Mus musculus: one gene and its partner. The protein of the gene in region 2 purifies or fractionates together with the protein of the main gene of each other region. This does not show direct contact. Links are inferred from orthologs where the notes say so. Each region holds a gene or a part of one and is shown on either strand. Other genes may lie near its edges. The genes, in order: Rnf146 and Tnks2.

What was found.
Region 1: the proteins of Tnks2 (region 2) and Rnf146 purify together in Homo sapiens (co-immunoprecipitation; 3 studies listed by BioGRID and IntAct, with this or other methods). This does not show direct contact. The link is inferred for Mus musculus from reciprocal best matches to the Homo sapiens genes TNKS2 and RNF146.

The regions. Positions count from the first base shown.
Region 1 is NC_000076.6:29,359,225-29,363,173, forward strand, and holds the start of Rnf146 (E3 ubiquitin-protein ligase RNF146), read right to left. Parts: upstream 2,480-3,949; intron 2,446-2,479; coding exon of another isoform or gene 2,172-2,445; intron 2,122-2,171; 5' UTR 2,061-2,121; intron 1-2,060. Other genes in the region: Gm30698 (verprolin-like), read left to right, coding at 2,172-2,445, 2,480-3,285. UniProt on the Homo sapiens protein: E3 ubiquitin-protein ligase that specifically binds poly-ADP-ribosylated (PARsylated) proteins and mediates their ubiquitination and subsequent degradation. May regulate many important biological processes, such as cell survival and DNA damage response.
Region 2 is NC_000085.6:36,886,185-36,890,002, reverse strand, and holds part of Tnks2 (poly [ADP-ribose] polymerase tankyrase-2), read right to left. Parts: intron 2,938-3,818; coding exon 2,832-2,937; intron 1,295-2,831; coding exon 1,108-1,294; intron 112-1,107; coding exon 1-111. UniProt on the Homo sapiens protein: Poly-ADP-ribosyltransferase involved in various processes such as Wnt signaling pathway, telomere length and vesicle trafficking.

The DNA of each region.
Region 1 (3,949 bases), on a different chromosome or scaffold from region 2:
GTTATGGTGACTTTTCCAATTTCTATATCTCACAGAATTTTCTAAGTTGAGACAAAATGGATTAATAGTCCATTAATCCAGCTACATTAAAAAAACTGAAAAATAGTCATATTTTATTACTTTAAAATTGTAACCACTGAAGAAATTTAAATCATAATTACTTGACTACATTAATACCTAATATAAATATTAGGGTTGATAATGTAAACAATTAGGATTAATTTTAAGCCAGCCAAACTTTTTAAAGATCCACCGTCCCTAGATAATAAACTTGAATAAAATATTGTTTCTTTAAGGAAAAAAAAAGGCGAATCAAAGAAAAAAGATGAACATATCACAATAGAAATAAAAATATAAATGTCAAATTATATACAGTTGGACATTTTCTGCTTATCCTATTTAAAGTTAAGGTGTAATGAAATAAGAGTTACTCAAACAGAATACACTATATAGAAAACATATCAATAGGGGGACTACAAACCTTATTATGTGTATCTGTTTACTTACATATGTCTCTATTATAAACACAAGAAAAATGAGTAGGGGTCAGATGGGATTTAACAAACACATCTTAAAACTTCTTAAGAAAGATTCCCAAATTCACAAGTATGTAACTGTTACAATGTGTCAATTTTTATACTTCATCATCAAATCAGTTTTAAAAGTCTAAGTTAAGCTTGGAAATAAGTGTTCTGTCAAAACCCAGTTCAGTTAAGTGGGGTTCCATACTTTTGAGGGATCTTCTTGCCTTGTGTATGACTGCCCTTAAGAAGCCCCATCCTGTGACTCTATTTACTTTTGTCTCCGTCCTTATACTTAAGTGTAAGGCTTTAAATTCCTTCTCTGCAAAGTGGGCGTTGTATTGATTTCATTAACTCATGAGATACAAATGTCAATTTATATTTATATGTAATACATGTATTCTCATCTAACAGATGTTTCAGGCTGGCAGACATTCTATAAATAAGAAAGTCCTCTTATTAACTGGTGAGTGACCTTTGCCAAGTTATCCCTATGCTTTTGTTACTTTGCTCTAGCCAGCCTCTGTAATTGGACAACTCCAAACATTTTAATTAGCAGGCCTTTAACAACAGGCTTTGTATTAACTAACTAGAAAGGTAAATGAGAGTATACAAAGAAGCAAAGGAAGCTGTAGACTAGTGTAAACAGTGTGTATGCTCAAAAAGACTGTTTCTAATCCACCCAGCAGTTACCCAAGTTCAGACTCTGTGATCAAGAAGGCAACCAAGCAAGGAGGTAGAAAAGACTCGGATCTTCCATCTCTCATACTGATAGGGAAATGTGATAAGTCCTTCAAACTCATATATGGCTGACAGAAAATATGTTTTAAACAGATGGATATGAAAAATTCTTCCTATTATTTTCTTCTTCAAAGTCAAGGAATCATGTTGGATCCAAAAAATAAAACAAAACAAACCCTCCAACAGTTTCAAAGTGGCACTTTTACTAAATGGCATGTCTCCTACAAAAAAAAAAAAATCATTTATGTTTGCATTCCTGTTATCTAATGAACAGTTATTTGGGACATTTCCCCATGACTACAATTCGACTCAGTTCTTAAACAGCACAAAACAGAAACTTTCAAACGTTTAATAACAGGGTTTTCATTCTTTCCCCATTACACACGCCCAATTAAGACATAAATAAACTCTATGATATCCAAGACCCAAGCAAACATATCCAAAACTCCATCTTTACTGTAGCAGTTACTCTTGAGTTTTCTCTAAAATGAGATTTACTTCACCTATTTTCAAGTGTTTCTACAGCTCCCAGACGCTTTTCACGCTCTGCTAGTATGTGTGGGTCGTTTTCTTAATTTGTTCTTTAATATGCCATGTTCTTTAAAAGTCTAATGATACAGATCATTTATTGTTATGTTCTACGCATTCAACTTCTATGACAATACGTGCCTTTCAATGCCCAAGCTCCAGGTGCACATCTAGTTTGCAAAAGAACACACACACACACACACACACATACACAGATAAAATGTAGTTGTCAGAATGCGTGTGCTAACTTACAGTGGGGAAACATCTTACCTAATTATAGAGGACGGTTCCATTTCCACATCCTCAAAAACAATGTCACATAGCCCTTTCTCTTTAAAAAAAAAAAAAAAAAAAAGTCCAGAAAATAAGACAGTGACAACAATGGGGATCCCGTGCGCTCTCAGATGGGGTGGAGGGTTAAGGAGAAAACTCCACATCCAGCAAGCAGAACAAAGCGACTGCCGGAGCTCTCAAGATGCACCCGGCTTGGGAGGCCCAACTGGTATCCCGACACCTCAGGCTGGTTTCGGGTTTGGGGAGCCATCAAAACAAGAACGCTCGGCGGCTTCCGCCAGCGCGAGGAGGAGGGGACGACTCCGGGCACTGGGCAAGACCCAGAGGCACAGCCGCGGCGGCGGCGGCGGCGGCAGGGCAGGCGGAAGATAGCATGCAGCCCGTGGCCGACTGAGGCCCGGTCGAGCCCGCTGGAGCTGCCCGCAGCCTGGCCTGCCTGCGCAGTAATGGCCGGGGCCGCGCCCGTCACAGTCCGGGCTGCGCCAGCTCGGCCTCCCTCCGCGCGCCCGTCCGGGCCGCGCTGGCCAAGGGCGTCCCCGTCCTACCGGCCCCCGACCCGCCGCCGCCCGCCGCGGACTCCGAGCGCCGCCTCGCAGCCAACGAAGCCGCAGTGCCCCGCCGAGGCCCGCAGCCCACGGCCCCCCGCGCTCCTCACCGGTCCGGCCCGGAGCCCACCTCTCGGCCGCCGCCGCAGCCACCTCGCAGTCTTTTCTCCTCCGCTTCGGAGCCCGCAGCGGACGGGGACGCGCGCGGCCGTCACGTGACCGCCCGGCGCTCAAGGGGCGGGGCCGCGCCGGCGGAAGCCACGCCCCCTCACCGTGATCCCGCGCGCGGCGGCCCTGGCTGGCGGTCCCCACGCTGGCTGCTGCTCTTCTCTGTCCCTTGCTGCGACCGGGCTGCTCCTTGTCCCTGTTCCGGTCCTCCCTCACCCTCTGCGTGGCGCATCTTGTGGCCTCCTGGTTCTGAACTGGTGGAGGTCCATCTAGGTGGCTTGTGGGAGGAAGCTAGACCTTCAGTACCAGGAAGAAGAGCCTTTCCAAAACTCAGCCTTGGGTCAAGTCCTATGTTTCCTTTGGCCGTGCCCTTGGAGAGACTACCGCTTGTTCCTTATACAAAAAAGGCACAAGAAAAGTCACGGCGTGGACTGGATGGTCCCCGAGATGCTCCAATTTATTCACCTCACAAATGGCCAGATATGTAATGGGAGAGGGGGTGTGCTGGGGTGTCTTTTAAACCCTAACAGCATAGGAAGCTAGAAGAAGAAATCGTCCCGCGAATCTAGAATAAATTTCATGGGTTAGTTTTATGGCAAGCATATGGTGTTACACATCAAAATCTAGTCCTTGTTCATTTTAACCGGCACATGATCTTTTTCAGAACAGTTTTCTCTACTTGAAGTTGCACAAAATGGACCAGAGAACCTTTTCACCTTTGAAAGTATTTCCGCATTCTGTAACTGTTTGCATTGTGCTTGCAACAATGTTGCATTTTGAGGTTACATCCACTGTTTGAATTCAGGACTGAAAAATGTACTGTGCACCTATTTATAGGGTTTCAAGGCCACTGATCCAAAGGAAGAGCTCATCTGCTTAACATTAATAGCTGTAAATCCAGAGCATGGGTTCGGGTTATTCATTCAGTTGTTATAGGAAATATTATATGAACTTTTATAGCCTGAAGAGAAAAGGTTGTACATCAATGTACGTTGAAAGGGATAAGACATTGAATAGGTGAGTCGATGTGAGCAAGCATGTGGGTCTATTTCATAGGCTTCAGATGTTAAAATATTCTTAATTTCAAAGGGATCTAGCGGTAGGAGGCTGATTCACCTTACTTGAGGATCTGGGTTCAATCCCTAGTACCAT
Region 2 (3,818 bases):
ACACTGGGCCGGCCAGTGACCGAGTGATGGCCGGGAGGAGAATGTGCCATTTTCATTGCGCTGAACTGCAAGAAAGACTTTCCCAAGGTTACTCGACAAAACAGCAGCTGCCTAAAACATAAAAAGGAAAATTTTACCCTGGACACAGAAACCCAGAACAGCAAAGCTCTATGTTAATAACATATTTCTAGACAACATATTTCTAGTACTGTATTCCAATAACAGCTCAGGGGAAGTATGAGAACACTGCTTGTTTGTTTGTTTTTTGGTTTTTTGAGACAGGGTTGCTCTGTATAGCCCTGCTGTCCTGAAACTCACTTTTTAGACCAGGCTGGCCTCGAACTCAGAAATCCACCTGCCTCTGCCTCCTGAGTGCTGGGATTACAGGCGTGCACCACCACGCCCAGCTGAGAACACTGCTTATTACTAATAATCTCAACCACAGAAGGCAAGTAAAATTTAAGTATTCAATTTACAGAATTTGAAACATTGTAGCCTCCTAAATAGTATAGATTTGTGGCTCAAAATAGAAATGATAGTAATTCCTACCCAGAAGGGAATTCCTAACATAATACAGAAAGCCTAAGCTTAGTGGGAAAATAATGGTAGTAAGAATAACACAAGTTGGCCGGGCCCTTTAACTCTTACACATCCCACCTCTTCTGTCAGCACAGCACAGCACAGCACAGCACAGCACAGCACAGCACAGCACACACAGCACAGCACAGCACAGCACAGCACAGCACAGCACAGCACACACAGCACACACAGCACAGCACAGCACAGCACAGCACAGCACAGCACAGCACAGCACAGCACAGCACAGCACAGCACAGCTCAGCCAGCCGTTGTGTGTGCACTATCCTCCTGGCTCTCCTTAGCATTCTCTATGGAGAACCAAGTATTCAAAAGGAAGTTGAATTAAACAAATCAAGTGCTCAGAATCATGCTGGCCCACTCAGATCCTTTGGTAAATATTAGCTGTTATTGTAACTTGTGAAGAGACAGTTTAATCTGTATCCCTCAAATTGTCAGGTATGCCTTGCCCTCCATATGTCTCAAATATGTAATTAGTTCTAATTATGAAAGTACCAAGTAATCTCTCACCTGTGACAAATGTAACACGATCTGTCTTTGTGAATTGGACATCCGGTGCCACCTCCAATTCCATACACATATTGATTGCTTTTGGAAGAGTTCTCAGCAAAATAAATTCCAGCTCCAAACATGCCACCTATGTATGCATGCCTTTCATCAAAGCCCTTATGGATAATCGCATTCACAAAAGGAGACCCTAAAATACAAACATGGGCAACAACAATTCAGAAAAAACTAAACCGTCTAAGAAGTTAACTTTTCTAAGGAACTAGGATTAAACACAGAGCTTTGTGCACATCAGTCAAGCACTGAGCCACACACCCAGCCCAGGATGCTAAATTCTTTGTTTTTAAGACAGACTCTCTACATAGCCTTGGCTGTCTTGGAACTATGCATACCAGATAGGCCTGCACCTCACAGAATCACCTCTGGGCCCATGGATGTTAAATGCTTGAACATGAATCACTGCCAGAAAAAACTGTAGACAGGGTTTCTCTGTGTAGCCCTGGCTATCCTCAAACTCATAGATTCTGCCTGTCTCTGCCTTCTCATTGATAGGATTAAAGGCATGTGCTATTATCAACTGGTTGCCATTTTTTAATTAAAAAAAAAACAAAACAAAACAAAAACAAAAACTACCAACAACAAAGCTATGCATAATTCTGTAGGTCCATGTGGTATGTGCATTGAGAGCCAGAATCACAGGCAGTTTGAACACCCAATGCGGGCTTTGGAAACTTAACTGCAGTCTTCTCCAGCAGCAATATTTGCTCTTTCTGTTCCTTCTAAATCATCCCTACAGACCCTAGAGCTTGCTATTTTTAGAGCTAAGAATTCCTTATGTTGATTAACGATTCCAATAGGATGGTGGTTCAGATGCCAAAGGATAGACTCAATTAGAAAAACAACAGAGTATTTGAAATTCTAATGCAAAAGTTACCACATTTCAGAGTCAAATACATAAAACCCACGACCCCTAAGGGCTTCACAGTTCACTGCACCCAGTGAGGCTAAGAGACATCAGGTCTTCAACCGTGCTTGACCTCTGTGCACTTTCCTAGACAGTCAGAAGTACCCAAGCAGCCTAGCCTGCCATGCTCTTATTCTTCTCCTTGTGCCTCTTCTCTTTCATTATCTGCTATAAGAGATTCCAAGGGCAAATAGTGACCCTTCTCCTGTCCTTGCTAACAGAGGCTTAGCCAAAACTGCACCACACGGCACATGAGAAGCAGTGTGGGGAGTGTGAAGTGAGAGTTGGTGATCTCACAACTTACTTCTTTCCTTCCATCATAGAGTTTGGGGACGGAATTCAGAGGTCATTAGGTTCATGTGGCAAGGCCTTTACTAAACTGAGCCGTTTTACTCGCCACCAAAAAGGTAATCTTAATTTATTAAAAATGTTCATTATAAAGTATATTAACACAAAAGAAACCGAGGATATGAACACAAATGTACAAGTTACAAAAATGTTATCTTTGGGGCTGGTGAGATGGCTCAGTGGGTTAGAGCACCCGACTGCTCTTCCGAAGGTGCAGAGTTCAAATCCCAGCAACCACATGGTGGCTCACAACCATCCGTAACAAGATCTGACCCCCTCTTCTGGAGTGTCTGAAGACAGCTACAATGTACTTACATATAATAAATAAATAAATAAATCTTTAAAAAAAAAATGTTATCTTTATTAAGAGGACATCAGCTACACTCTTAGAGAGAGGGCAGTGTGAAAAACTTACCATGAAATAACATCCTTTCGTTTGCATGGTTGTGGTTTTCTTCAGAAACTTCTTTTCTCCGGTGTGTATATCTTTCCCACAATTTCTTGTTACAAACCTTCTGAATCTATAAAAAGCAGAAAAGTGAAATATTGCCTTTTATCTTACCAATATAAACAAACAGACAAACAAACAAATATCAGAACCAACTGCCGTAAGTTGTCCTTAGACCTCCACCTATATGTGGTTGTGTACATGCAATTTGTGTCTGTCTGAGTTCATACACACATTTTTCTTTCAAAGAGAAACAATACTCGTGGCTGGAAAGAGGCCACGAATACATGAAAGTTGCATGAAATACTTCAATTTTAGAATTACCTAAAATAGGAAGTTAAATATAAGTTACCACTAAGTCTTTACAGAAACACCTCAGCCATGATAAATTTTGTAGAAGCATGAGGCATGAGACAGAGCAAACACCCTGCTTTCCTGACTAGCTAGCTCAAAACACCATAAACACAATTTGAAATAACCACCCACCACACATTTTTCTTTCCTATTACTCTCTTTCCCCCCCAGTCCCCATTTTTGTCAGGAGAAAACTTAAAGACGAAAGCGGGGTCTCATTTGGAGCATCACTATGGTCAAAATGGACATTTCTAGTGCTGAGTGCTGCAGCCCCCTAGTGGTCCCTAACAGGACACCTGAGTGTTTTGGTTTTAGTATTGGCTCAAACAAATAACCCCACAAAATGACTCAAAATATGGATAACAGATGTAATCAAGAACCATAGCTGGTATGAACAATCTTTATGTCTAAAATGTAACAAAAATAAAGCTATTCTAGTACACACACACACACACACACACTAAATATTGTGCTGAAATGGATTCTTTTCATATTGAACATAGAAATTTTGAAATCAGCCTTTCAATTTCACACTTAAGTGACCCCCCCCTTGCCTGAACAACCTGATGGTAGGAGATAACAACCACACCACACTAAGTA